7 linked regions of the Ovis aries genome follow. The main gene of each other region encodes a partner of the protein of the gene in region 6 in a complex. Links are inferred from orthologs where the notes say so. Each region holds a gene or a part of one and is shown on either strand. Other genes may lie near its edges.

Region 1 (3,581 bases), on a different chromosome or scaffold from region 6:
CCTTTAGAAAGTCAGGGTATTGAACGACTTCATCCTATGCAGTTTGATCACAAGAAAGAACTGAGAAAACTCAATATGTCTATCCTTATTAATTTCTTAGACCTCTTAGATATCTTGATAAGGAGCCCTGGGAGTATAAAACGAGAAGAGAAGCTAGAAGATCTTAAGCTGCTTTTTGTACATGTACATCATCTCATAAATGAATACCGACCCCACCAAGCAAGAGAGACCTTGAGAGTCATGATGGAGGTGCAGAAACGTCAACGTCTTGAGACAGCTGAGAGGTTTCAAAAGCATCTGGAACGAGTCATTGAGATGATTCAGAATTGCTTGGCTTCTCTGCCTGATGATTTGCCTCATTCGGAAGCAGGGATCAGAGTAAAAACTGAACCAATGGACGCTGATGACAGCAACAATTGTATTGGACAGAATGAACAACAAAGAGAAAATTCAGGTCATAGGAGAGATCAGATTATAGAGAAAGATGCTGCCTTGTGTGTCCTGATTGATGAAATGAATGAAAGGCCATGAAGGATGTTTCTTTTCCTTTCCCGTTCAGTGAATGGTAAACACATTAGTTAATTCACTTTTAGAGAGTTTCAAAAGAGAGATAACTAGAAAGAAGTCTTGCAAGCAGCTTGATTCTCCAACTTTCTCAATTGTGAGAAGTCATAGCAGTAATTTCACCTTATGGCAAGCATAGGTAAATGAGTGTGCCTACATTAATTAAGAGTGATCCCCTTAAAAAGCAGAGTGCAGGTGTTTGTGGCATATCCTTGTTTCCAGAGTTGCAGTGAATTTTGAAGATATCTTCAGTGATAGCAGGTTTCAACCCTGGGAAGTAGATTTGTCATTTGCTTTAAGAGTGATAGATAATAAAAGATATCAGACTTTATAAATGAAATTATGAAATCTTTGTTTCACTTAAAAACTTGCTTAATCTCTAAAAAAGAATAGTGTAACATGTTTAAAGAGAGGAACCCCAGAGTTGTAAAAGTTTCATTTTTTCTCTTGGCTGTTCTTGCAAACACTGTCTCAGCCTCTTACCCCTATCCTGGATGGGTCCTGGAACTTTTATCCAGTCACTAAGAAGTCCTTTGATCACTTTTAGTTACAGACATTCATTTTAATCATTAAAATGTCTATGTAAATTATCTGTACTACATTTCCTAGATTCAGACTTGCTTAAGGGTGGAAGCCTGCCATGGAAAGGGGGTTTGGTGGCAGAGATTACTGGATGTCCACCAGAGATTCTTGCTCCCCTGAGACATGCTGCCTTGCCAGAAACTGCGGTTCTCCATTCCCTGTGCATCTCTGTGAGTCCATGTGACTGAATTCTTAGCAGTGGAATATGATGTAAAAATCCAGGCCTGCCCCATAAAAGTTTTTTATATCACCCACCATTCTCTTCTCATCTGGTTTGATGATCACACCCAGGAAAACTTTGGAAGCCACTTGAAGATGGCAAAAGTTTGGTCATTTTGGGTCCTTGAATGCCTGAAGACCAGGACCTCCTTTCATTTTAACTCCATCCTCCCCACCGTCCCACCCCTTTCCTTACCCCTGCTGATTTAACTTCACCATGTGAATAAGAAGTCAACTTACTGTTGTTATTTTGTTGTTACTGTTGTTTTGAGCACTGAGATTTCATTTCTGCACTTCTCTTTTCTCCAACCCCTCTTCCACTGAAATCTTGATGGAGAGTCTGCCTTGTATATGAGGGTTTCTCCCAGCCTTTCTCTTAATAAAGCATATTTAGAAATATGCTTTGAGTGATTCTCAAAGCATAGTGCTAGACTGGCAGCATTGACATCACTTGGGGACTGGTTATGCAAATTCTCAGGTCCACCCCAGGCATGTTAAAGTGAATTCTAGAAGTGGGGCTCAACAAACTGTGTTAAAGAGCTCTCAGGTGATTCCCATGCAGGCTCAAGCTTAAGAATCCCTGATAATGATAAGGCTTTTGCCCAAATAAACAGGCGAAGTCCGGTTTAAAGTGGCCATGGGTCAATTCTGTGTGTGAAACACTCATTTATCCTTTTCTTTAAAATTCTGGGGCATTTAGGCTGTTCCCAAGTAGATAGCCTGTTCTGCATACTCTCTTGGACTGGGCCTAAGCCATGCCAGATGAGGGACAGATGTTCTTGGCAAGTGGGGCCAATCTGCTGTTTCTGTCCGTGGGCCCCTTGCCTGTCAAAAAATATTTGGCTTCCCTAGTGGCTCAGTTGCTAAAGAATCTGCCTGCAGTGCTGAGTTTGATCCTTGGGTCAGGAGAATCCCCTGGAGAAGGAAATGGCAACCCGCTCCGGTACTCTTGCTAGGAGAATTCCATGGACAGAGGAGCCGGGCAGGTTACAGTCCATGGGATTACAAAGAGTCAGACACAACTGTGTAACTTTCAAGTAGATAACCTCTCTGTTAGGCAGATAGTTGGCAAGTCTCATTTGTTTTTTCCTCATATGTGTTTGGTATTGATTTTTTGGCTCCATAGACTCCAGGAGACACAGTCTGGGCTCTGTTAAGTTTAAATTGAAGGGGGAAGGAAACCCCTTCATCTCCCTATGGCAGAATAAGGTATAACACTTTGGCAACTCTCCAAAGGAATCTCCTTTGAACACAACCCTCTTATAACACTGAAGTACAAAACCAATTTTGCAAATCCTTGCATGGAAAAAACTGAATCACATTATCACTATCACATCCTTAAGAGAGTCACAGCATTATTTGTATATAATGTTTGTTGGAGAGAAAGAGTAAGAGATTAAAATTTCATGTGAAATCTTAAATTCTGACTTTGAAGGGATATGATCTTGCAGATCTGTCAGGGTGGAACTTGACATAAACTAATGAATTCTGATGTGAACTCCTGCTGTTACAATGGAAAAAACACTGGTGAAAAAACACCAGTGGTCTGATAGTTGTTACAGATTTCAAAGTGTATGTAAAAACTCTAAGTATTAAAATACATCTTTGCACACCTGATCGTAATGAATATTCCTTATAAATTGATACCTTGAAGTGGAATATCTGAAGGTATAACCAGGGCAACTCTTGAGATTACCAGTGCTGGGACCCAGACTACAAGGATTCTGGTTTCATTGCTCTGGAGTGGGGCCCTGAGATTGGGTTTAAGAAGTTTGTAGGTGACTGCTGTGCCATAGGATAAAGGATTGCATTACTCAGTACTCTATACTTGTACTAGTTTAAGCAAAAGATGAATTTGTTGAAAGGATTATGAAATCCTTTTAAATTTATGAGATGAAGGATTTATGAAATCCCTAACAGGATTATTGAAATCACGTGTTACATGATTGAGGGGTAAGTTAAACATCCAAACCATGAAGAGGACTTGGAGGTTCTTTAGGGCAAGTGGGACTCAAACCTGACCCAGAACGCTTTGTCCCTCCTTTCTGATTTTTCTGTTAATTTCATTCTATACAAACCAGCTTCTTTGATGGTATGAGTGGAGAACATGTGTGCTAACAGTTCCTGGGTGTTAAGTCTTTCTGTACTACTGTCTGGGAGTTGTCTCCAAAAAAAAGGTAATTGACCAGCTGGAAGGGAGAAGTTAGGGGTGGCAT
Region 2 (3,961 bases), on a different chromosome or scaffold from region 6:
CGCTCTTTTAACCGGACAGGCTTGACACCAGCCTCAGCCACCTGCCCGTCCAAGTTAACCGTGTAGTCACGAGGCCGGTACCTCTTCTTCTTTTTGCTGTCTGACCCACCAGAGGAGGCAGCATCGCTGTCCGCTTTGGAGGAGTCTGGGGAGAAGCCTGCCCGGGACAGGAGCGGCTCGGCCGGTGGCAGCCCCGCCTTGCAGCCCGACCCTGCAAGCCGCTGGTGGCCCTCCGGCTGCTCCAGCCAGCGCACGGGGCTCTCTGCGCTGGGCAGCAGCTCGAGTCGCCGCACAGGGGGTGTGGACGGCTGGGCCAACGGAAGCGGTGACGGCACCTGCGTGGCATCCAGCGACTGGGGCCGAGGTGATGGGCTGGGCAGGGAGCCCTTGTACGTGTACGGGCTCCGCTGCCGGGCAAAGGAGCCCTCGTGCCGTGAGTTCCGGGAACCGAGAGAGCAGCGAGGTGGCCCCTTGGGGTGGGGGGGCCCTGGAGTCTCGTCCACCCTGTCCAACTGCTGCAGCACCACAGCCTTCGTCTGCAAGCAGGGCCCGGGGGGCTTGCCCAGGCCCGGGGAGCTGGTGTGCGGCCTCACGGCATTGACGGGGATCTTGCCGCTGTGCTTGTCATTCTCGCCGTGCTCCAGGCGGTTGCCCTCAGGGCCCACGTGCCCACTGCTGTCCAGGGGGCTGGGGAAGCTCTCAGGGCTCCCGCTGATCCCATTGGTGGGGAGGGGGGACGAGTTGGGTACCAGGGAGTCGTGGCTTGCCTTGGAGACCTTGGGAGGTGGCCCAGGGTGACCAAGGTCACGCTGGTCTCCCCGGCGCTTGCGGCTGCCCAACCTGTCCAGCCGCTGCCCGCACAGCCTTGGCATGTCATTGCGGTACTTCAGGTCATGGACGCTCTTGGGCGGGCCGGCCGCCCCTGCCTCTGGCCGGCAGTTGTGGGCACCGCCGTTGGCTGAGCCGGTGGCACCCGCCAGCCCCCGCAGCGCAGCCTCATTCTGGTGCACGGGCTCGATGAGCTTCTGCCAGCTCCGCAGCAGCTTCTTGGCCCGTTTGGCAAGCTCCTCGTTCTTGGTCTTCTTGCGGACGTCGTTGATGAGCTTCCCAAGGCGGGTTTCCTACAGCCAGAGAGACACAATGACACGCTTTTAGGACAGGGACACCCCATGAAGAGAGAGCAGAGGCAGAAATGGAGCTTCCCATGGAGCTGGGGGAAGGGCTCGTGTCTTTGAAATGACCCCACAGGCCCCCTAAACCACTGGTCTCCCAGACACAAAACCTATGAAGATTTTGGGCCCCTCGTGACATTTAAATTCTCAAACCCAAGTCCTCAGATCTTACAGTCCATGGGACAGACAGAGCATTCTCAGAAGCATCATCTCACAGGCTCCCAACTCCTGAAGGCCGCGGACCATTCACGGCCACCTCAAGGACACTTGGCCAGGGGAGATTTCTAGGTGAGAGTACACTGTGGCAAAGGCAACAGCACACGGGACCTTGAGCCAGCCTCACTCACTGGAGCCTCTGCTGCGCACTGCAGAGTGTGCAGGGCCTCCTGCAGAGAAAGGGGCCTCAACTCTGAACTAAAGCCTCTCGTATTTCCTGCAGTGCCCATGTGCTGTGGACTGGCACAGTGCAGGCCAGAAGGGCATGCCCCCCTCACTCCTCCCTTTAAGGCCTTGCTGGGCCAGTGAGCAAAGTCTCTGGGGCTCCAAGAAGTCAAGAAAGCCCAGGGCTGGGGCAGCCCGGGCCCCGCATCACTGCCGCCCTAGTGCTCAGACCTGGAATGCTCACCTCCAGTGCCTCTTTGGTGATGGGGTATTTCTCCAGGCTGGAGATGACTTCCTGCACCGCCACCATGTTCCGGATCTGTAAAACAAGAGCCGCTGTCAGACCTCAGGCACTTCTCCCGGTGCTGGCCTGCTCCATAATTCCCCCTTTCCCAAGCGCCGGTAGAGCCAGCATCACCGGAGACCCCCTCCTGCAGCCTCCTACCTGCTCCCAGGGGCCAGCACGCACCTAGTGCGCACCCTCCCGTCGGCCTCCTCCAGTGCCCGGTGAACAGGTGACTGAGTCTGTCCACGGACACACCCATCTGCCCAAGCGGCTGCCGCACAACTGAAATTCACATTTATGAAACAAGATTCACTCTTGATGCGGGAAATGCACTCGAGTCTGCCATCTGATGGGAGGCTGAAGGACTCACTGAATAAAACGCACCACATTTAAAACAGCTGTGCATAATCATCTAATCAATTTAGCTGCCTTAACAAGATCTTTATAGAGTTCACTGAAAGACATCCCAAGGAGAGCAGAAGTCACAAAGTGGGAGGAGACCAATGCCACAGGGCCCGCCGGGTCTGTGTTTGGGCCCACAGAGAACGCGGGCCGGGAGACACGAACAGGGACTGGGCACGACAGGAAATGGTGCAGCAGCGCTCAACTCTCCTGGCCATCAGGCGAGGCACACCGAACCCACAAGCGGCTGCAACGAACACACGCCAGACTGCTGGAAACGGTATCTGACAACACCAGGTAGTTCTGGGGTACGGCCAACTCTGGGGAGCACTGGGCTGTGTCTGGTCAAATCAAACACTTGTGTGTCTCGTGACCAAGCAATTCTATACCTCGATGACACGTGCTATGAACCAGGCCCTGTTCTACCAAGGTCTGTTTCCATACAGCACTACTCCACTGAATTATCACAACCTCAAGCAGAAGGTGTGAACTATTATTACCATCACATTTTATGAATGTGATGTAAAGGAGTGGGTCATGTGGTCACATGTTGTAACGACACCACTGTCGTCCAAAAGTTGAACAGACTAAGAAATTCAAGAGCTCTAGAAATGAGCACACTGCAGCTTCAGTACATCAACAGATGAACTTCAAACCACAGTGGATGAAAAGTCACAGGAGATACACACTGGGTTGATTCCAATTACACTAAGCATCACAGCATACTCAAAAATTAAAATGGACCCCAGATCTAAATGTGAAAGCAAAAACTCTAAGGTTTCTAGAATAAACAGGAAAATATCTTTGCAACCCTGGGGTAGACAGATTTTTCTGGAGCCCCAAAGCAGTGATGTCTAAGAAAATATCCTGACAAACCGGGCAGTGAGGAGGCTGGTCCCACGGGAACAAGGCCACCCGCTCCCTGTCCCCAGCCCTGGGATTCTGGCCCGCACGGTCCTGGGCTTGCCACATGGCCTCTCTCCACCTCAGTGACCTCACCCTGGTGTATTTAGAGCCCTGGGTCCCTACACACTCCTGAACCAGCAGTGTCCACAGAGCGAGCCCAGTGGCACAGAGTGTCCTTGTCCTTGGGCAGACGCTGTCCTGCTGCCAGAGGAGGGGCAGGCAGAACACCTGAGCAATGCTGGGGGCTGGAGCAAGCTGGCACTGTAGACCCTCACACAGCCAGAGACCCTCCTGGAAGCTGCTCAGGGTGGGGCTGGGGAAAGGCCTGCCACCCCACTGTCATAGCCGAGCAGCCTCTACACTCAGGCGGGCATCCAAAGGGGCTTTCGGCTTTGAGGCGGTGCTCAGGCTCTCAGCGCTGTGGACAGCACTGTCTGCTGCCTTCCTCAAGCTCAGGACCACCCGAGGGCTCATCCCTCTGGCTCCCCTGCTCCAGCCATGCTAGCAAGGGCACTGAGCGCTATGTAGGGAGCATTATCTGGGCATCTGGAGGCAATCAGGCCCTAAGGACTAGGAAGCAGGCCAAGTTCTGCCCTCAGCACAGCCAACAGGCAGGCGTCCTGGGCTCTATGCAGTGCAAGGTTGGGCCTCCAGCCTCAGATCCAGCAGACAGTAATAGCCCAGCAGCCTGCGGCCCTTGCCTCCACTCTCAACGAGAGGGCCCAATGCACAGCAGAGACACCAAGGCTCAGTATAGCCAAGGGGAGGCTTCTAGCCAGGCTCCAGGCCTGTAAAAAAAAAAAACCCAGTACAG
Region 3 (4,434 bases), on a different chromosome or scaffold from region 6:
GCATAAAGAGAAATATATTGAAACATAAACACAAGCCAAGTAATTAATTAAGGAAAGTCTGTTGCTTGCAACTCAGGTTTGCAGCTGGCATATAATTCCACTGATTATGATTTGTTTGCTCCTTGTCCCTAAGTTTGAAGCAGCCAAGGTCATTCAGTGAGTGAGTGATAGTCGCTGAGTTGTGTCGAGGTCTCTGTGACCCCATGGATTGTAGCCTGCCAGGCTCCTCTGTCCATGGAATTCTCCAGGCAAGAATACTGGAGTGGGTAGCCATTTCCTTCTCCAGGTTTGAAGCAGCCAAGGTTATTTAAAGGGCCCCCAATTCAAAACTCACCTGCCTTGGAGGCTCAAACAGTCTCTTTTCCATCAGCTTAACACATACAGTATCTAGAGCCTAAAAACTTTTTATGCTGGCTTCAAATTAAAATAGTTCACTGGGTCAAAGGCTTGCCTTTGGTCCAAGGTGCAGGAGGGTCAATGAATGTTGGCTAAATCCCGAAACCGCAGCTTGGCTCTTTCTTAAATTGATCTGTGGACTGTTTCCAGGAAACCAAAGATGATCGGTCCACCTGGCAGCAGGCAGGCTGCGAACTGGAGGCGATTCTGCCCTGGCCAAGGGCCATGGCCCCCTCGTGGCCCCGAGGAAGGCAGCATTTCATCGGGCCTTTTGGATGTTATGGCGGGCGGCTGGCTTCTCCCGCCGCGGCGTGCTCTCCACGCGGTGCACAGACGTCTCCACCCGCAGGGACGAGGCCCTGACGTGGCGGGAAGCCGTCTCTGTGAGCTGCGAGGCGGTTTCCACGTGCTGGGAGGACACCTCGAGGACTCGAGGGAGCCGCTTCCCAGAGGAGGAGACGGAGGGTCCCTCGCTGCTGCGCTGGGTGGTCTCCACCTGCCGGGAAGATGTCCTCACGTGACGGTAGGATGTCTCCACGCGGTGGGACGAGGTCTCCACGCTGACCGTCGCCGTCTCCTCGGAGCGGATGGATTCCGCCCGGGCCGGAGAGGGCTTTCCCCGAAGGGGTGAGGCCATCTTATGGGGGTAACAGGGCCAAGCTGACCTTTGGAGGCCCCACAGCCCCACAATCCCCGAAGGATTATTTTATACGGTGAGGAGCGACGTCACATGCCATTGTGATGCAGGCAGAGCGGTGGTCGAGGGTCCCGCGAACCACGTGGAGGCACCGTGATCTTGGGGCGGGGAGGCCTAAGATTCCTTGGGAACGCTGGGTTCGTCCCCTCGAGAGCGCCGTCTGCCCCCGCATCGCCCCTTAGCCTGTCAAGAACCTGTCCGGGTGGAGGCGGGGTTGGGGCGGGGCGGGCCCTGGATGGGCGGAGCCACCCGCCCCCTTGCGAAGCTGTGCCCACCCCCGCATCCCACACTGCCCCGCGGCAGGAAGGGGACGCTGCGACTTCCGGACCTTCCCTGTTTCTCCGATCCTGGCTGTGTGGGGTTGCTGGGGACTTAAGAGTGTCTGCTGGTGATGGCCGCGGCCGTCGCTATGGAGACAGGTGAGTAGCGCTCTGAGCCTCGCGTTTTGTCAAATAGAAACTGTCCCGGGTCCAGACACCTGCTTCCCGGGATTTTTTGAGAATCCAGGCCCAACTCCCGGCAGAGTGAGTGATCGGAGCGGGAGGCACCAGGGTTTTTTTTTAGCGACTGGAAGGGCGAAGGTAATTTGGCCTTTTCAGAGTTTGTTTTGTTGGCCGATCCTTTCTCCCCGTTAGTTATTCAAACAGTGGCCCCACCGGCTTCCAGAAGACTAAAGGAGAGATTTTGGATCATAAACCGCTTCCTCGAGTTGTTTTTTTGCATCTCAGATGAGCTTGCCTAAGTTTAAAATATCGTCAGCGAACTCTTGTATTACTGTGCCACTAACGGGTCTCACGTAAGCACGCGTTTCTTGATACTCACCAGGGTCTCTTTCATCTTGCATTCTGAACGTCTCTTGATGGATTTAGCATTTTGTTTTTGCTAAGCTTGATCACTTAACAGCTTGTAACGCACTATCAAAATAAGGCAAGGCACATTGCTGCAGCTTATCCTAGTGATCACTGTGAAGTCCCAACATGGTGGCTCACGAGTGATTAATGTTCTGCTCCATGTATAATCTTGTTTTCTTTGATAATTTAACTTTAGATAAACCTTTTTTTTTTTTTTTTTTTCTTAATCAGGGCTTTGCTTTCCTTAGACTTATAAGGAAGGTGTTTCTCCTCCTACACCCAGTTTAGGAAAACCTTTGCATGCTCTTCTTTATGTAACTCAGCATTAGTCAGATGTCTGTACTGCTGTTTTCTGTCTAAAAATCAGTATTATATACAGTGACATTTATTTTGGATGATTTTGCTATCTTCTCTCCTAGATGATGCTGGAAATCGACTGCGGTTTCAGTTGGAGTTGGAATTTGTACAGTGTTTAGCCAACCCAAATTACCTTAACTGTAAGTTGTTGAGCACCTCATTGAAGTGAATAGCTAGTTACGATTTCTGATAGAAGAGTCAAAATTCATAGTACTGTCAGCCCTTTGTATCCTTGGAGGCAACCTCAGTTGGTGGAATCTGCCCATCCTGAGGGTGACAATACTGTCATGGCACTATGTTGTTTTGTACAGGAGATTGGAGCACCTGTGGATTCTCGTGTCTGCGGGGCCTCTTAGAACCAACTCCCTGTGGATTCTGAGAGATGACTTTAGTATCTAGTTTTGTACATTCTTAACTGAATGGAATGACTGTTGCACTTATACTGGTATATATAATTGAGCAAACTGGGACTTCTGTTTTGAATTCAGTGTGTGTTGGTGGTGGGAATGTTATGTAAGTAAATTCTTTACGATTATGTTAGTCACAGATCAGTAGTCCAAGGACTGGTGTGCTCTACAGATGTATTTTTTTTTTTTTTTTTATGCCTTTCAGTTCTTGCCCAAAGAGGTTACTTCAAAGATAAAGCTTTTGTTAATTATCTTAAGTACTTGCTTTACTGGAAAGAACCAGAATATGCCAAGTATCTAAAGTAAGTTTAATTTTTATAGTCCTAAACATGTGTGTACTTTTATTATATTCCAAAGCACTGATATTTAATAGACTTCTTACTTTCACGTTGGAAAAAATACCTGTTGAATCTCTGCTCTCCTTTCAGTTGCCTCCATTTTAATACGAGACACATCATCTCTAACTTAACTGGGATTACTGCAGTATCTACTCATTGGTATTCCTCCTTTCTCCCTGCCCTGCCAAACAAAGAAGAAACATTTTCTGCACAGAAGCCAACTTGGTCTCTTAAAAATAGAAATTACATTCCATTAGAACCCTTTGGTCGCTTCCCATTGCATGCAGAAGAAAATCTCGTCTCTTAGCCCTGTGTGATCTGTCCCTGTCTTCTCTGACCTTATCTTGTACCACTCCCTGCATCTCACTGAGTTTCTGACCTCAAGGAACCCGCAGTCCATATATGCAATGACAGCCATAGCCTGAAAATGAAAAAACATAGAAAGAGGTACTTACTTGTAAGCAAGGGTTTCTGGAGAAGGTAACCGTACCCGAGTCTTAATAGCTGCTTTCTTATTTTATATATCTTACATAATAAATACATGAATTTATCATTCAGGTTGTGCAATAGATACTCTCGTTTTAAGGCTTACTGAAATGCAAGGAGCATATTGTAATCACAAACATTTCTTTTTAATGATAAAAAATAAGCCTTGAACACCCACCTCTGCTTTGTCTTAAATAGGTAGTCAAAAAGCAGTGGTGAAATGTCTAGCCTTTTTTTTCCCCTAAACAGACACAAGTTTGAGAGGAGAATGTTTAAGACTTGTACTTTGGCCAAGCCACTTTTCTCTGTCTAATAACAGCTGCTTTATGAAGTCCACATCCTCCTTTTGCCTGTGGGACCCTTTCCACCCTTACTGGCCCTTTATAAAAGAACCACTTATTCATTTAATAATCCAGAGAAAATATATATATTTTTTTACTAGATTGCAACATGTTATATGTATGTATTATAGACTTAGAGACTCAGTGTTGGACACTGAGCCCTGGACACCGTCAGGTTCAATTTTACCCACAACATTGCTGAGATGGTCATCTGTATACTGGCTGGAGGTTTCTAGTGAACACATACTAATTCAGGGGCAGCCAATTCCGTTGTTAGCTAGATTCCAGAAAGTTCCTCCTTGTATTATTGTGTCCGACTCTTTGCAACCCCATAGATTGTAGCCTACCGGGCTCCTCTGTCCATGGGATTTTCCAGGCAATAGTACTGGAGTCGATTGCCATTTCCTTCTCCAGGGGATATTCCCAACCCAGGGCTTAAACCCAGGTCTCCCACATTGTAGACAGATGCTTTACCGTCTGAGCCACCAGGGAAGTCCTATAACATGATATACCTCTATGTAACTTTAACTCATGTTTTGAGTTTTGACCCTGAATTAATCC
Region 4 (4,486 bases), on a different chromosome or scaffold from region 6:
GCATGAAGGGCGTTCTGGACATTCGTTCATTCGCTTGTTCCACAAAGTTTTCCTTGGGGCTCTTTCATGCCAGGCCCTGTGCTGGGTGCTAGAAACTTGAGGGACATCAGACTTGGACTTGAACCTCAAGGAGCCCCCATTCCACATTATTCAAGTCTCACCACAATCTGTTCCAGAGGTTCTCGACTGGGGCGGATTCTGTCCCCAAAGGGACATCTGACAATGTCTGGAGACATCTTTGTTTTTATTGTTTATCACACTGGGGAGGGAGGAGACCACTGGCATTGGGGGGGAAGGAGCCAAGGATGCTACTGAACTCCTTACAACACACAGGAATGCCCCCCACCCCTCCACAACACACATACAATAATCATCTGGCCCAAAGGGTCAACAGTGCTGAGGTTGAGAAACCCTGCTCTGCCCTGACCATGAATTCTAACAACCATAAGGGGGGAAAGTGAATGTGCAGTGCCTGGTCTAGCACGTGAAGCCTGAAACAAACCAAGTGTTCAACAAACATTTGCTGCAGATAACAGCAGCCCACGAATCCGGTTGTTTAATGGACTCTGACCAGACCCTGAGCTGAACACAGTATGAAGATTAGCTTCTGTGACCCTTCTCTGAGTGCTGATATGGACTACCGTTATCCCTCTGCAGACCAAGAAACCAAAACACAAAAGAACAGCAAAAGCTGAGGGAGCGCTTAATCGTGTCAGGCACTGTTCTCAACAGTCATCAACTCGTTTGATTCCCAAAGTCCCCTATAGTGTCACCGGAACTAGATCTCCACTGAGCACCATCTCCTGGTATTCATGCCCCCTCCAACACTGAACAGAACTGACTTGTATACTAAACAGAATGTGACACAAATGATGGTGTGACTTCTAAGATTTGATTATAAAAATCTTTGTAGTCTCCTTCTGCTCTTTCTGTTGGATTGCTCAGGCTGAGGAAGGCCAACTGCCATGTTGGGAGGACACTCAAGCAGCCCCATGGAGAGATATCTTAGGAATAACAGCTAGCAAGGAACAGCTAGCAAGTTGGCCTCTGGCCAACAGCCACAGGGTTAGCCACCTTGGAAATGGATCCTCTGGTCCCGATCCAACAGTTGGATGACTGCGGTCCCAGCTCATCTGACTGAAATCCCACAAGAGACCGTGAGTGAGAACCATCCATCAAAGCCACCCCTGAATTCCTTACTTAAGGAAACAAGCCACTAAATTAATTTTTTTTTTTTTTTTTGGCTGTGCCCCTCAGCATGTGGGATCTTAGTTTCCCCACCAAGGATCAGACCCATGTCCCTTGCAGTGGAAGCACAGAGTCCCAACTGCTGGACCATCAGAGAATTTCCAAGTCACTAAGCTTTAATCTGTTTTCCCAACACTGGATAAGTAACAGGATGACTATAAGTACTATTACCGTTCCCCTTTTAGAGATGAGTTCTATTAGACACAGAGGACAGGGACTCGTGGGTCTGGCAGTCCTGTTGTGGTAGAGCTGAAAAGTGGCCCCAGGCTGTCTGCACCTGCAGTGTGAACTATCAACATTGACTCCAAAGCACAGAGGCTTAGCCCCACCCCTCTTGCGCTCAAGCTTCAGTGCCCCTAGTAGGAAAAAGAAGGGCTAGAGTAGACAAGAGAAGCAACAGACAGAAAGGAGAATAATATATGAGGAGTAGGACGGGTGCTGGACTTCCCCAGGCCTCCTTGACCAGGAAATTCTTTCTACTTCCAAGCCAGACAGCAACACCAGCTGAGCATACAGAACCGACCACTGAAGTGACCTAGGGACAAAACCACAACCCCCATCGCAGCCCTTTTTAGCAACCAATGTGAGGGGCTGGATCCGGCAGCACCATTCCTCTGCCGTCCCTCCCAGGTTCCCCCAACCCTTCCGGAAGCCGAGAAAAGAGCTCACTTAATGCCATCGAGCCAGGTGACAAACTCATAGGCGCTGCTGGTGGGAGCGTGACATTGTACGTAGGACTCTGGAGCGCAGTCCACCGTGTTGAACACCACGAGGCTGTACTGGGTGCCCCCATACTGGGAGGGGAGGACAGGAGAACTTTTCATCTGGGACCCAGCTCCTTTTTCCCTCAGGGGAATCGGAGCTCCCAGCCCCTCCTCCCTCGGACCCGGGGGTCCGGACCCCGGTACTCCCACCTCAGACCCAGGACCCGAGCCCTTCCCGCCTCGGACCCAAGACCTGAGCCTCCTCCCCTCTCGGACCCATTAGTCCGGACCCCAGTCCCTCCTCCCTCAGCCCCAGAACCCGAGCCCCATTCTCCTGGAAACCAGAGTCCAGACCCCAGCTCCTCCCCGCTCGGACCCGCAAATCCCGACCCCAGCCCCTCGGACCCAGGTGTCCAAACCCCAGCCCCTCCCGCCTCCGACCCCGGAGTCCGGACCCGAGCCCTCCCACCTCGGGCCCAGGGTTCAGGTACCGCCCCCTCCTCCCGCAGACCCAGTCCGGACTCCCATCTTCCCTCAAACTCGAGAGTTCCAAGACTCACGTCTCCGCCGAAGTCCGTCTCGGCAGGAGGGCCGCCATTAAAATACCTGTGAGGGTCGGAAGTGAAAGGTCGGGGTGAGGAGAGAGTGTGGAAAACTAAACTCGGAGGGCGGGGTTGGGGCCGCGGAAACGGCACTCACTCTATGGCCGGGAGCAGGTAGTGCTTGCGGAGCCCCTCGAAGTAGGGCCCCAGATTGGCCGTGCCCTCAATTACAAACACCACGTCAGCCACGAGGCCCCCGGCGCGGGCCGGGCCCTCCGACCCGGGGACCATGCCCCGCGCCGCAGATGCCGCCGTCGCCGCCACCGCCGCCACCGCCGCTGCCGCCGCCGCCTCAGACACCGCGGGCTGAGCGGAAGTGCGCCTGCGCCGCGCGCGCCCCCGCGCGGGACGGCCTCTCGGCGCTGGCGGCGCGCTGGCGGCCATGTTTGTGCGGGGCGCCCGGGGCGGGTGGGTTTATCTCCATCCTCCTTCGCTCCCAGTGTGTGCAAGACTCAAAAAGGACCTAGAGAACTCCTTCGGGGACCAGAGGTGGAAGCTTGAATTATTTGCAGAACTTTCGAGGGCGAAATATACTGAAAGCGGCGCGTCAGACGCCATTTTTGAGGGGGGGGCGACCTTTCCGACACCGGTTTCAATGGAAGGGCCGGGAGACCTGGTTGCTATGCAACGCATACGCTGCCCTTGTTTTCCTAAAAAGACAGATTAGGTTTCTAGTTAAGTTCTTACTGGTTCTTGGGGGATGGGGGTGGGTGGGTCGTGTGAAGGGTCCAATCACAACGTCTAAAACGGGGTTACTAGGCAACGCTTTAAGGTGGCAATCAACTCTGAAAGGAGTGCAGCTGTTTTTTCCCCACTAAAAGAAGCCGAACTCTAACCCGAGTGGAGGTTGCTAAGCAACACCTGATAGTTGTTTTCTGGGAGAAGAGCCAGAAACTGGCCTAGAACATGAATACATTCCAGGTGGATTAAAAATGTAAATATAACAAATGAAACCATAACACTGTATAATCCTGAAGACTGGGGAAGAGTTTCTTATCATTACAGCAAAGCCAGAGCACGGAAAATATTGAGCTGTTTGTCCGCAGAAGACTTCATAAACCAAGCTGAAAACGATACGGTAAACTGCGGAAGTCACTGTAACATGTGTTGACAGAAATTTACTACCCAAATACGTATTACTGATCAATACAAACTTAGGAAAACAGAAATACTTTTTTTTTTTAATTGGGGAGGAAACTAAGCAGGTTTTTCCTGTACGCAAAAACATACTGAAAGTCGCTCATATGCACAAGTTAGTAAGTGCTAACACAGGGTCCAATGATAAGTCAGTTTATCTTTGTCATGTTAATTAATGCTGGAAAAATAAGTCCATGACGGTGGGAAGGTTTGGGTGAAATGAGCAGGCTCAGACGTGATCTAGTGGAGATGAAAACCAAAACAGCTTGCTCCAATGCAGTTTGTCAATATATTTCAAGGTAAAAGGGTGCATTGCTTTGCACTCAGCAGTATCACTGTTTTGTCTCATGTACTTTATTGATCCTTTTATTTTCTTTGCTGAACGCTTGTAAAGCAAATCCCAACATCGTATCATTTTACCTCTACCTGCTGGATAGGCATCTCCCCAAAGTTGCAGGTAACCACTATGCCATTAACATCTCTAACAAAATTCTTACTTCTTGGTATTGTCGAACACTTAAATCCATAATCAAATTTTCCCAGTTCTCACAAAATGTCTTTTTACAATTGTTTTATTTGCATCAAGATCCAACAATGACTGAACCTGTGTTTAGACATCTTAAAATTCCTTTAAATCTAAAGCAGATCCCTTCTTTTGTATGCTAGTGTAATTAAATTTTAATAAAATCATAAGGAAGATAAAAGTAAACTGGAGAAAGGCAAAATGATCAACAGGTATGGAGCTTGAAATGGTACCTAAAATGCCCTCCTAGCCATAAGGAAACTTTCCTTTAG
Region 5 (4,636 bases), on a different chromosome or scaffold from region 6:
CATTTTAATAGCTAAATGACAAAGGGGACACAAGAGATGAAATGGTTGGATGGCATCACCGACTCATGGACATGAGTTTGAGCAAACTCCGGGAGATAGCGAAGGACAGAAAAACCTGGCATGCTGCAGTCCATGGCATCTAAAAGTCGGACACAACTGAGTGACTGAAATGAACTGACATCAAAACAAAATTTGTTTCATTTTATTTAAATCTGAGTACTCTCTTTGAAGGTGTTACTGTCTAGGATCCTAGAGTTCTCTGAAATCTTGGCTGCAGAATATATAACTTCATTTGAAAATAAATCAATACTAGAACCAAATTATCTGATCATCTTTTTATACAAGATTAAATAGCCACAAATTTTATTTTACCTGGACTTAAATGCATTAAATTACATTTCATTGACATAAGATCAAAAAAGCTTCATAAATATAATACTGCATTTTACCAGAGTGAGGTGATAAGAAGCCAAACTGAAAAATATTCCCTCTGGAACACAGAAACTGTTGAAAGCAAGTTTAAAACTCTCTTGACATTTGATCCATTTTTTAAAAAAACACTTCTATGAACAAAATCATTAATGACTACTGAAAAACAAGTCCAAGGAATTATAAACAAGTTAATGTTCCCAAATGCAAGGCTACCTGGCTATCATGAATGACAAAGATATGTTCATATACCATACATCCATCTATTTTTAAATTGTACAGATTAAATTTAAATCTCCTAAAATTTTTCTTAGCCTTAATGAAAACTTGACCACGAGATATAAAATGTGGTCAAAAGTACCTCCTGCCAATAAACAATATTACAGTTTTTAATAAAAATGTTAAGTCAAAGTTAATAAAATTTAGATGTTTTATTAAAATAGTAATTTATGAAAACAGAACTGTTTTTTTCAGAGAGATCAAAAACAATTTAGGGTCACCAGAATTTTATAGAACAGATGACAGACTGGTCAAATGCCCTACAATGTCTAACCTCATTTTTTAACTATGTATTTTATTACAGAGTAATACTTCAATGAGAAACGTAATTAAACAAGAGTCAGCAGTATCTCCAGACACTGATTTCTCAAATGTCACCCAACTATCCATCCCACTTAAAAGTACTTGTGAATACATGCAGCACACACAGGATCAAGTTCTCAACTCCCTATCTTTGCAGATACCAGTACTGCGTTACTGCTGCATATAAGCACTGAAACATATTTCAAATTAGTTAGAATTACTATCTTCTTCCTTAGAGTCCATTTTAAGTTATTTTAGAAAGACACCTCAGCAAATCTAAGAAAAATATTGAATATATAGCTCCTTCCCTTTCCAATATTGAGGATACTGAAGTATTTATAAATATGGCTTCCCCCCAACCCAGGTAACTTCAGCTTTATGAATGGTTTCATTTTTTTAAGCACTAATACAGTTCTGAACATATCCTCCCATCTAAATTGTTGAAAAAAGCAATTATTTTAAACGTTAAACAGCAGCTTAACCAAACTAAGAGTGACATTCAAGTAAACCTACTTGTTTATAATAAAATCTAAAGATTATATAAGCTTTGACGTCCTTTCCAGCGTTTTCCTATAGTGTCAAAGGTGAGAAAGACAACATCCGTTTTTACAAGAGGAAAACTAGGAGTTAATAGATTATATTTCTCATCTAAGAAATGTCTTCTCTTTTGTCAACATTACAAGACATTCATCTAGTGACAAAGGAAAAATGAACAGTTCACTTGCCGGTTTAGGAAACTAAATTGGGAGCATTACCAGTCATAGACTTAATTAAGTTATTTCTAGGTAAGAACATTTAAAGCAAATAGACTATTTAAAGTTCCTTGTCAACTGCTAAAGTGGGGGGGAGGGGGGGTCTGAATAAGACACCCCTATTTTTCATTCGCCTTTCTCCCCACCACCTACCCTGCACCAAACCCCCATTGTTCTAGGTAAAACTCGCAGCTAATGATAGCGAAACAGCAACTGCTACGTTTCTGCCGCAGGTGATCGATCACCAGGAGGAACTCTTCACAACCACCCTGACTTGCTGCTTTCTTCCCCACAAATAAAACCCAAATGGGGTCTTAAATCCATCACCAACCTGTGCGGGGGAAAGGATCCCAGCTTCCCTTCCGGGCTGATGGATGTCGGTCCGGAGGCGGGTGAAGGGTCCCCTAATAAATCGACCCCTCCCTCCAAGATCATTTAAGCTGACGTTTTATAAGGAACATTTAAAGAAATCTGGCACCGAAGCCCTTGAAAAGTACAGAGCCCGTGGATCAGACGCTCCTCCTGCTGACAAGCGGCGCCCGGAGACCACAGGAGCGGCTCGCGGGGTGGGGGTAGGGGTCTCGCGCGGGCTTGGCCCCCCTCGGGCACCACGTCCTCCCGGAGCCCGGCCCGCGGGGGCTGCCCACCTGCCTGCCGACACTCACCCATCCTTCCGCTTGGCTTTGTAGACGTGACCGTAAGTGCCTCGGCCAACTTTGCAGCCCTCGTATTCAAACAGGTCCTCGACCCGCTCCCGCTCGCTGCTCAGCTTCACTTTAAAGTCATAGTCCATTGTCACGGCCGGCGGGGCCGGGGAGCTGGGGTCGCGGCGCCGCGGCGCGGGGGCGGGGGCCCTCCGGGAGGCTCCGGCAGCCGCGGCCCCCGGGAAGCCGCCCGCTCTACGCCCGGCGGCCGCAGCGCCGGCTCGGCCGCGGCGGCAGGAGCAAGAGGAGGCCCCGCGAGGGCGCCGGGGACATCCAGCGGGGCGGCGGGGCGGGGGCCGGCCGGGGTGGGCTGGGGGGACACACGCCGAGGAACCCGGGGGCGCAGGAGGGCGAGGGACGAGGGCTGGGGGTGGGGAGCGCGGTCGCTGCCCTTGTCCCCGCGGGCTCCGGGGCTCTGGCTCCTGCGCTCCGGCCGCGCGCTCGGCCCCCGCGGCGGGCGGCGGCGGCGGCGGCGCAGCGGGCTCTCCCTCGGGCGCTCGCGCCTAGCCGCGGTAACACACGCTCACGCTCGCTCCCTCACTCGCTCTCTCCCTCGCTCGCTCTCCCGTCCACTCAGACAGAAAGGCAGCGCCGCACAACAGCCGGCACCTCCTCAGAGAGCGGAGGGCGGGGACTCGCAGAACGCGGCCGCGCTGTCGCAAAAACGTCGCGAAGACCCTGGCCACTCGGCTTTCCCCGCCGCCCGCGCCGCGCGCCGCTCCAACCGAGCCTCGCTCCCCCGGGGGGCGCGTGAACCCAGCGCCGTAGGCGCTGCCCAGAGCAGCCGCCAACAGCACCACGTGGGCCGTCCCGGTGGCAGCCGGGGCTCCAGACTACAGCACCCAGAATGCACCGGCCGCCTCGGTGGCCGCCCCGCCTTCGGCTCCGCCCCCCGCGAGGTGGGGAGGTGGGAGCGATGCACGATGGGATTCGTAGTCCAGAAAGAGGGGAGTCCTTTCGATGACCACTTGGGAAATTTTTTTTATTTTAACAGCGTTGTCGCTAAAGTCAGATTTGGGCCAGAAACTTAACTAGAGAAATTTAAGCGTGAGGGAGTCTATTCTGTGTTAGAATCACATTTTGTGCCACTTCCGAACTCCAGAGTTTGAAGGGCACTATCGTTATCGAAAAACATAAATCTAATTATTGATCAACGGCTCACAGAGTATCACTCGGGGAATCTTGTAGGTCACGGTCTAATAAGGGCTGCACAGTGACAGCAACGTGCTAACACGCATTACAAATATCAGTAAAAGGGAGTCAGTTGGGAGTGGCCACGCTGCCTCTGGAGAGTGGCACCCTTGTGACAGAGGACTATCCTTTCAGAGGAGATGTTACTTTGAGTACGGCCTTTTGCACCACTGCTCCTAAGAATTGCCATTTTTAGCCATGATTACAGCAATGGGTCTAAATCCATAAAAACTGTTCATAATGTTAAGGGAGGAAAGGTGTCTGCTGGAGGAGTCTTGGTATCTTTATCGTTTTTTAAAAAAACATTTGGCTGCACCAGGTCTTAGTTGTGGCACTCAGGATCTTTAGTTGCAACATATGGGGTCTAATTCCCTGACCAGGGATGGAACCTGCGACCCCTGCATTGGGAGTGTGGAGTCTTAGCCACTGGACCAACAAGGAAGTCCCAGTGCTGATACATTGATAATAATACCTCATTTTGTTTTATCCCCCTTATTTAGATGACTATTTTTCATTATTTTATTTTATATTAATTTTATGTTTATATTTATTTTACTTTTCCCAACTGCTACCATTTTCATGAAAGTTCCCCACGTTGTCTCTCCACTTTTAACATCCTACCAATTTTTTCACCTTTCCCATGGTATTCATCAAATCGTGTTCTTTTATTTCCTCTTCCTTGCTAGATTATTAATTCCTATAGGAAGTCATATTTGCATCTTCCCTGATGCCTAGTATCATGGCTTGATTTTGGTGTGCAGCAATGGCACCCCACTCCAGTAATCTTGTCTGGAAAATCCCATGGACAGAGGAGCCTGATAGGCTTCAGTCCATGGGGTTGCTAAGAGTTGGACACGACTGAGCAACTTCACTTTCGCTTTTCACTTTCATGCGTTGGAGAAGGAAATGGCAACCCACTCCAGTGTTCTTGCCTGGAGAATCCCAGGGACGGGGGAGCCTGGTGGGCTGCCGTCTGTG
Region 6 (3,961 bases):
GAGTGAGCGAGTGGAATTCTTTAACTTGGTACTGCTGTTCTGTGAACTGATTCGACATGATGTTTTCTCCCACAACATGTACACTTGCACCCTCATCTCCCGAGGGGACCTTGCCTTCGGAGCCCCTGGTCCCCGGCCTCCCTCTCCCTTTGATGACCCGGCTGATGACCCAGAGCGCAAGGAGGCTGAGGGCAGCAGCAGCAGCAAGCTGGAGGTGAGCGAGCTTTTCCTTGTCCTAGATTGTTTCTTCTTGACAGCCGCCTCTTCCTGGCTCCAGGAGTCCTCTGAGAATCCTTTACGAAGTAAGGAGGGTAGGATTTGCTTAGTGCTTTGCAGTTTAGCAAGCACTCTCAAGTTCTTTTTTTTTTTTTTTTCATTCGATTCTCACAACAGACCTGTGAGGTATTGTTTTTCTTTTTTGGGGCCGGCGGGGGGCGGGGCGGGGAACTGTGTCACACAGCTTGCGGGATCTTAGTTGCCCAACCAAGGACCACGGCAGTAAATGTGCCAAGTCTTTGCCACTGGACCACCAGGGAATTCCCCGCCGCCCCCTGACCCCGCCCGCCGTGAGGTATCCTTATCCTCATTTTAAAGCTGAGAGAAACCAAGGCCTGCAGAGGTTAAGGGACCAGTCAAGGCTTGGATCTGGAACCAGTGCTTTTCCCAGTATGGGCTCCTCTCTTCGACTCCAATCAACTTTTCGAGATGGTGGGGAGCAGCTCCTCAGGGCTAAAGCAGCTTCGCTTCTGTTCTCTACACTCAGGATCCAGGACTCTCAGAGTCTATGGACATTGACCCTAGCTCCAGTGTGCTCTTTGAGGACATGGAGAAGCCTGATTTCTCAGTAAGTTACTGGTGTGGAAGCATCCAGCTCCTGAGGTCCTTCTGTTATGCCACTTTGGGGAGTTTCCTTATGCACCCCCCTCAATCCCTTTGTCTTCCTCTAAACATTCTGCCCTTTCGCCTTTCTCTTAGTTGTTCTCCCCCACTATGCCCTGTGAGGGGAAGGGCAGTCCATCCCCTGAGAAACCAGATGTTGAGAAGGAGGTGAAGCCCCCACCCAAGGAGAAGCTAGAAGGAACCCTTGGGGTTCTTTATGACCAGCCGCGGCATGTGCAGTATGCCACACACTTTCCCATCCCCCAGGTACCGTTCACCAACACCTTCCGACCCTCTGTTCTGAGCCCAGGTTTCTGTCCAAGGACTTTGCCGAGGGGTTGGAGCTGTTCTTGAGGGTGTGGTATGCTGGGAAGGGTTGGAGTGCTGGGGTGCTGAGGGGCATGGAGCATGCTTTTGAGAGGAGGGAGAGTGATGCCTGCTGGAGTCTGATGGTGCCGCTGGGATGCAGGAGGAGTCATGCAGCCATGAGTGCAACCAGCGGTTGGTCGTACTGTTTGGGGTGGGAAAGCAGCGAGATGATGCCCGCCATGCCATCAAGAAAATTACCAAGGATATCCTGAAGGTTCTGAACCGCAAGGGGACAGCAGAAACTGGTGGGTTTGAGGCACCTGAAATGGATCTCCCCCAAAGAGCGCCTTAGTCAGTCTTCCCTTCCCCAGCATAGGGAACTCCCAATCATGTCCCAATGTCCTGTCTCTTGGAGTCTCCTGAGAGCTCTAGTCCTTTTGAAACTTCCCCCCTCATTCCCCCCCTCTGCAGACCAGCTTGCTCCTATTGTGCCTCTGAATCCTGGAGACCTGACATTCTTAGGTACCTCACAGTAAGCCCCATACTACCCGCCCTCCCTCTCCCTTCCCTCCCTCAACCTAGCACTTCCCTGTACATACTCCTCTAAGGTCCACATAGTATGTGGTCCTCCAAACCTTTGCTTCACTGTTCCCTTCCCTTCATCCCTCCCCCAGCCCTTCCTTGACCCTCCCTTCCCATCTTCCCTCTTCCTTCCTTCCCTTCCTCCCTCCCTCCCTTCCTTCCCCTTTCCCTCCCCACCATAGCCTTCTCTCCATATCCCCCCCACCCCCAGTTGCCTGGTTATCTTCCCTGTCCTGACTGGTCCCTTTCAACTGTCCCCTCAGGTGGGGAGGATGGACAGAAGCGGCGACGAAACCGACCTGAAGCTTTTCCCACTGCCGAGGATATCTTTGCTAAGTTCCAGCATCTTTCGCATTATGACCAACACCAGGTCACGGCTCAGGTGTGGGCCTAAGTCCAGCCCCCTTCCCACATTCTGGCCTCCCTGTCCTGTTTTCCTTCTCTCCTTATCTTTTTTCTCTCCCAGGCAGGCTAAGCCTCCTGTTCTCACCCCTTTTCCCCATCATCCTTTCCTGCTACCCTGGTTCTTCTCACCTCTCTCCACTCCCATCTCTCACTCCCGCTGCCCTTATCAGGTCTCCCGGAATGTTCTGGAGCAGATCACGAGCTTTGCCCTTGGCATGTCGTACCACTTGCCTCTGGTGCAGCATGTGCAGTTTATCTTCGACCTCATGGAATATTCACTCAGCATCAGTGGCCTCATCGACTTTGCTATTCAGGTGGGGGAGTTGGGGAGATGAGGGAGAGGGCGTTTGTGCAGTACAGGGTCACAAGGACAAGAGCAGAGGCTCAAGCCAGTGTCCCATGTTATTTGGAGGGACCAAAAGGCTAGTGTCGGGAGAGTGGCCTGTGAGCTAAGCCAGCAGGAATAGAGACTCAAGTGCTCCCTGGGGAGGCCCGAGAGATGGATTAGAGCACTGGGCACAGACTGTCCTTCCACTGTGGACTTCATAGGATTGTATCCTGGACACTGGGTAGATCACTGATGTGGCTTGTTGTTAATAGAATAAAGGACAGTGGCATATGCCACTGGGGCCCTTCCAGGCTGAGGCATCTCTAGCAGGAAAGGGCTCCAGTTTTCTCACAGGAAGGGGAATGATGTATAACATTCGAGGCTTCTTCTTGTTTCTCAACCCCCACTCACTCTGCTAGCTGCTGAATGAACTGAGTGTAGTCGAGGCCGAACTGCTTCTCAAATCCTCAGATCTGGTGGGCAGCTACACCACGAGCCTGTGCCTGTGCATCGTGGCTGTCCTGCGCCACTATCACGCCTGCCTCATCCTCAACCAGGACCAGATGGCACAGGTCTTTGAGGGGTAAGTGGAGCTTCAGAATAACCAAAACCCATGGGGCCCTGGTGAAGGCCGTTGGAAATGACCTGCAGAGAACACATAGGGCTCTTGCAATGCAGAATTGCATGCCTTCCTGGTAGGGAGGGGAGAGAACATTGCAGAGGGACAGGAATCTTGGCGCCCAGACCCGCCATTGCTCCAGGCGCGACCTTGTCCCTTCTCAACAGGCTGTGTGGCGTAGTTAAGCATGGGATGAACCGGTCCGATGGTTCCTCTGCAGAACGCTGTATCCTTGCATATCTCTATGATCTGTACACCTCCTGTAGCCATTTAAAGAGCAAATTTGGGGAACTCTTCAGGTAAGAGAGGTGGAAGGTAAGGGGTAGAGAGTGGGACCTCATCCCATCTCCTTGCTACTGCCCAACTTAGGAGCAGAGCACAGCTTACCACCCTGCTGTGTCTGCAGGGTCATTTGGGGACAGTGTCCTCTAAGTGTTCTTGGTCCCCAGAGTGGGCCTCCTTCCTCATCAGCCTTGCTTCTGGCCCACGCCTGCAGGGCCCACGCTCCTCCTCCCTGCCTCCTGGGGCCCCTGTGCCTTACCCTCACTGGGTTTCTTTCCCGCCCAGTTGGTCGGCTTTGTCCCATTTCCCCTCTTCTTGCCTTAAGGCCCTTGGTCCCTCATTTTCTCCTCTTTGTTCTTTTCTCCTCTTTCCTGACCATCCCTCTGGCTCACTAGCACGTCCTCAGTACTGCTCTCCCCTCTCCCCTCCTGCAGTGACTTCTGCTCCAAGGTGAAGAACACCATCTACTGCAATGTGGAGCCATCAGAGTCCAACATGCGCTGGGCACCTGAGTTCATGAACGACACTTTAGAGAACCCCGCTGCTCACACCTTCAC
Region 7 (3,961 bases), on a different chromosome or scaffold from region 6:
CAAAGCTAACATTCAAACCCCTAACATTAACCCAAGAGAAGTGTCATGTTCCAAAGCAGAATTCTATCTAAAGAATGGCTTGCCATATGAATGAACAAAGGAAATCACTTATAGATAAAAATTAAACTTTCCACATTCCGTTCAGCTTTATAACATTAGAAAAGTTTCTATTATTATGAGGGACCAAAAAGTTTAGTTTGAGCTTAACAGACAAAAATATATTTGGAAGAACTTGAAAATACTCTGAAAAACATGGACAATAAATATTCAACTTTTTGGCAGACAACCTTTTCTGCACCTTCCTTTTGGTATATATTCTAACTTCATTCCCTCTTTCTCATCATCCATCACATATTTTAACCCCTCAAACTTAGCCAATAAGGCTATTCTGCTAACTGGTCATCTATTCAGATCTATTACCAGTTGCATGATTTCAAAGCAGAATCTAATACACAGGGAAGACATTTCATTCCATAGTATAAACTATGTGATCAGTCTTGTAAAAGACAGAACATATACATGAAAGAAACAATTATGAAGCACCATACAAATAAGGTGCTTATTTGTACAAAACTACATATTAACCTGCTAAGGAAAGCGAAGTACAAGTAAATAGAAAATAATCAGAAAAGGCTTCTTAGAACTAATTTTGTACGATATCATGACTCTGGCCAATAATTATCAGTTAAACCATTTGAGATCAGTGAAAATACAGATATAATGCACAGGGTCAGGTATCCACAAGTCTTTCAAGAGACAATAACCAAAGTGGCTTGAATGAAGCAGAAGCTTCTGCAGCTGTGGAGCTCCTGAGCTGTGTTATGAGACACAATTAGAGTGTGTGTGCTATTGGTTTTGGTCAAGAGCAGAGTGCTGAAGATACCAGTTAAGGAATGACAGTGCCCAAGGTGGCCAAGGTGAAGCAGGACTTGCTCCCTTTGTCAGCTGATGCCTGCATCCCTTCTCAGTTCCACACCTCCCTGCTCTTTGCCTTTCCACTGGACAGGGGCCCCACGATCATAAGATCTGTGGCATGAGAGAACCGAGTCTGCCTGGTGACTCCCTATTTGTCACAGAAGTTTACCAGCCACCTGCACTTTTAAGACTGTTGGGAGAGGAGCAGAGAGCTGTGGGAAACACTGGGCAATTTTAAACTCTTTCAGGAAATACAACAAAAAAGAGACAGATTTTATAAATGCTTCCACTTCATTTCTCTTCTGTGAAATTAATAGACCCTGAAAAATTAGTATCTGACAGCGATTACTTTTTATAATCAGAAAAAACAATACCTTGTAATCCACCCCTCCAATTATTTTCCGAACCAGTTTAAATGTTAAGGCCCAAAGCTGTGTTCTTTCCCATTCAAGTGTGTCAGAGTTTATCAGGGATTCACAAACCATCCTAGAAAAAAAGGAATACCCATTCCAGTTACAAGACAGGAGTTTTGTAAGTTCTCTAATAGCCAAGGTCCACAAACTCTGGATATTATATTTGTCACAGTAAGTGCTAATAATTGTCATAAAGGTACATTACTCAAGCACACTTTCAAAAAATTACATAAAGCATTTTATATTTTTTATTTATATGAAAGACTTAACCCAGAGTAGGACTAAACCCAAAGCAGACTCCTTACCGTCTTGAGCCACCAGGGAAGTCCTAAAGTAGAACTGCTGCTGCTGCTAAGACGCTTCAGTCGTGCCCGACTCTGTGCGACCCCATAGACGGCAGCCCACCAGGCTTCCCCGTCCCTGGGATTCTCCAGGCAAGAACACTGGAGTGGGTTGCCATTTCCTTCTCCAATGCATGAAAGTGAAAGGGAAGTCGCTCAGTCGTGTCTGACTCTTCGCAACCCCATGGACTGCAGCCTACCAGGCTCCTCCGTCCATGAGATTTTCCAGGCAAGAGTACTGGAATCGGGTGCCATTGCCTTCTCCAAAGTAGAACTAATATTAATTATGTTATATTTTTGCTAGAAAGAAATGTACCAAAAGCTATTGGTTAAATGTGTATCATTAACCAATTAGTGGCAAACTGTGTTTTTCCAAGATGGCTGCAATAAGACTTTCGACCCCACGTGCTCTTCTAAAATGTGATATTGATGCTCCTCCCAGGAAGAGTATCAATGTCAAAAGGGTAGAAACAAAAATCTATCCCTCAGTTTGGGCAGGTCCAAGACTGGCAAATGGAAAGGCTTTCAAGGCAAAGTGATACAGCTTCTGCCTAGCCCTCTTATGAATGGTTGCTCCTAGACTCCACTACACTGTGAGAAAGTCAAGGTCACACAGAGAAGGCATATGCAGGTTCTGGCCAATAGTGCCAGCTGATGTCTCTCAGGTGACAGTTAGGCATATGAATGGGGAAATCTTTGTCATGACTCCAGTCATAGCCACCATCCGATTGCAAACACAAAACCTGAGAAAATCCTTCCTACTCCTTGTCCAAGCAAGCACTGTAATTGTGAATGTTAATAATAAAAGGATTATTACTGTTTTAAGCCATGAAGTATTGAGGCAATTCATCATGCAGCAAAAGTTAACTGGAACTGACCCAGGAATTTCACTCCTGGGTATATAACTAAAAAATACAAAAACACTAATCTGAAAAGATACACACATCCCAATGGTCATAGCAGCATTATTTATAATTGCCAAGATAAGAAAGCAACCTAAGTGTCCCTCAACAGATGAATGGATAAAGATGTCCCTCTCAATCTCACACACACACACAGTATACTGCTACTGCTGCTACTGCTAAGTCACTTCAGCCGTGTCTGACTCTGTGCTACCCCATAGACGGCAGCCCACCAGGCTCCCCCGTCCCTGGGATCCTCCAGGCAAGAACACTGGAGTGGGTTGACATTTCCTTCTCCAATGCATGGAAGTGAAAAGTCAAAGTGAAGTCGCTCAGTCGTGTTCGACTCTTAGCGACCCCATGGACTGCAGCCTACCAGGCTCCTCCATCCATGGGATTTTCCAGGCAAGAGTACTGGAGTGGGGTGCCATTGCCTTCTCCGCACAGTGTACTACTCATCCATAAAAAAAGAATGAAATTTTGCCATTTGCAATAACATGGACAGACTATTAGAGTATTATGCTAAGTAAAATAAGTCAGACAGAGAACAACAAATACTATATGACATCACTTATATGTGGAATCTAAAAAATTCAACAAACAAGTGACTATAACAAATACAACAAACACTACCTAGAAAAGCTTGTCAAAGTGAGTGATTTTAATCCCTGGGCTAAAAGGCAAAGCCTGCCTGGTTTTGAGCACCTGAAGTATACAATTTTAAGAATACTGCATCCTCGAAATTAAAACTGAGATACTACGAAGCACTTTTTGTTGACTGTAACTGCCTTCTTTATTCTCTTATCCTTTTACAACAATCACCTCAACCAATTTCTAAACGTTAATTAAAAAAAAAGAAAATATTTCAGATTGTTCATATTCATCATTAACCATACCTGGGTGGAAGGAGACCAGTCTCGACTGCCATTGCTAAGCAGTCATAAAGAAAAGAAATTCTTTTAGGACTATGCTGGCCATGAATGAATTTAACAATCCACTGGATGCACTGTTCATGAGATTCCTGGAAAATTGGAAAATGATCACATTTTAGGTCTAAACTTATATTTTATAAGTAACAAATAGCTAATAGCATCTGGGAGTATATATGAAGACTATGAGTGAGATACTTCATTATAAATTAATGGATGAAAACAATTTTAAAAGAACTGGAAAAATTCAGATTTAGTAGCTGAGTTATTTTAAGCTTAAAATCACACAATTATATAGATTAAAACTTCCACCATTTTTACTATATGGGACCTCCAGAAAGAGTATGATTTTATTAACATATTCATGATCAACAAAAAAGTCTAGCAAAGGCACTGTAAGCAGTGCCCTTAATGGCAGATATAAATATCTCTGTCACTGGAGGAAAAAATCCACTATGAAT

What was found.
Region 1: MED12 (region 6) and MED7 share a complex: the UniProt entries of both Homo sapiens proteins name them as parts of the mediator complex. The link is inferred for Ovis aries from reciprocal best matches to the Homo sapiens genes MED12 and MED7.
Region 2: MED12 (region 6) and MED26 share a complex: the UniProt entries of both Homo sapiens proteins name them as parts of the mediator complex. The link is inferred for Ovis aries from reciprocal best matches to the Homo sapiens genes MED12 and MED26.
Region 3: MED12 (region 6) and MED31 share a complex: the UniProt entries of both Homo sapiens proteins name them as parts of the mediator complex. The link is inferred for Ovis aries from reciprocal best matches to the Homo sapiens genes MED12 and MED31.
Region 4: MED12 (region 6) and MED25 share a complex: the UniProt entries of both Homo sapiens proteins name them as parts of the mediator complex. The link is inferred for Ovis aries from reciprocal best matches to the Homo sapiens genes MED12 and MED25.
Region 5: the proteins of MED12 (region 6) and CDK8 are in contact, whole or in part, in a cryo-EM structure (PDB 8TQ2), measured with the Homo sapiens proteins. The link is inferred for Ovis aries from reciprocal best matches to the Homo sapiens genes MED12 and CDK8. Residues at the interface, in NP_005111.2 of Homo sapiens: Pro26, Gln27, Gln31, Glu33, Asp34, Leu36, Asn40, Val41, Lys42, Gln43, Gly44, Phe45, Asn47; in NP_001251.1 of Homo sapiens: His143, Ala144, Trp146, Phe180, Asn181, Ser182, Pro183, Pro186, Ala208, Arg209, His210, Thr212, Lys213, Met273, Pro274, Pro320.
Region 7: MED12 (region 6) and MED23 share a complex: the UniProt entries of both Homo sapiens proteins name them as parts of the mediator complex. The link is inferred for Ovis aries from reciprocal best matches to the Homo sapiens genes MED12 and MED23.

What each region holds. Positions count from the first base shown.
Region 1 is NC_056058.1:66,387,209-66,390,789, reverse strand, and holds the end of MED7 (mediator of RNA polymerase II transcription subunit 7), read left to right. Parts: coding exon 1-531; 3' UTR 532-2,982; downstream 2,983-3,581. UniProt on the Homo sapiens protein: Component of the Mediator complex, a coactivator involved in the regulated transcription of nearly all RNA polymerase II-dependent genes.
Region 2 is NC_056058.1:6,224,869-6,228,829, reverse strand, and holds part of MED26 (mediator of RNA polymerase II transcription subunit 26), read right to left. Parts: intron 1,873-3,961; coding exon 1,798-1,872; intron 1,122-1,797; coding exon 1-1,121. UniProt on the Homo sapiens protein: Component of the Mediator complex, a coactivator involved in the regulated transcription of nearly all RNA polymerase II-dependent genes.
Region 3 is NC_056064.1:25,114,918-25,119,351, forward strand, and holds the start of MED31 (mediator of RNA polymerase II transcription subunit 31), read left to right. Parts: upstream 1-1,417; 5' UTR 1,418-1,484; coding exon 1,485-1,512; intron 1,513-2,363; coding exon 2,364-2,441; intron 2,442-2,913; coding exon 2,914-3,010; intron 3,011-4,434. Other genes in the region: C11H17orf100 (uncharacterized protein C17orf100 homolog), read right to left, coding at 656-1,033. UniProt on the Homo sapiens protein: Component of the Mediator complex, a coactivator involved in the regulated transcription of nearly all RNA polymerase II-dependent genes.
Region 4 is NC_056067.1:55,910,089-55,914,574, reverse strand, and holds the start of MED25 (mediator of RNA polymerase II transcription subunit 25), read right to left. Parts: upstream 2,881-4,486; 5' UTR 2,786-2,880; coding exon 2,652-2,785; intron 2,559-2,651; coding exon 2,513-2,558; intron 2,043-2,512; coding exon 1,918-2,042; intron 1-1,917. UniProt on the Homo sapiens protein: Component of the Mediator complex, a coactivator involved in the regulated transcription of nearly all RNA polymerase II-dependent genes.
Region 5 is NC_056063.1:33,436,688-33,441,323, forward strand, and holds the start of CDK8 (cyclin-dependent kinase 8), read right to left. Parts: upstream 3,083-4,636; 5' UTR 2,557-3,082; coding exon 2,429-2,556; intron 1-2,428.
Region 6 is NC_056080.1:63,836,968-63,840,928, forward strand, and holds part of MED12 (mediator of RNA polymerase II transcription subunit 12), read left to right. Parts: coding exon 1-214; intron 215-763; coding exon 764-844; intron 845-975; coding exon 976-1,146; intron 1,147-1,348; coding exon 1,349-1,493; intron 1,494-1,659; coding exon 1,660-1,710; intron 1,711-2,033; coding exon 2,034-2,152; intron 2,153-2,345; coding exon 2,346-2,489; intron 2,490-2,922; coding exon 2,923-3,086; intron 3,087-3,289; coding exon 3,290-3,421; intron 3,422-3,838; coding exon 3,839-3,961. UniProt on the Homo sapiens protein: Component of the Mediator complex, a coactivator involved in the regulated transcription of nearly all RNA polymerase II-dependent genes.
Region 7 is NC_056061.1:57,044,667-57,048,627, forward strand, and holds part of MED23 (mediator of RNA polymerase II transcription subunit 23), read right to left. Parts: intron 3,593-3,961; coding exon 3,468-3,592; intron 1,833-3,467; exon of another isoform or gene 1,634-1,832; intron 1,402-1,633; coding exon 1,290-1,401; intron 1-1,289. UniProt on the Homo sapiens protein: Required for transcriptional activation subsequent to the assembly of the pre-initiation complex. Component of the Mediator complex, a coactivator involved in the regulated transcription of nearly all RNA polymerase II-dependent genes.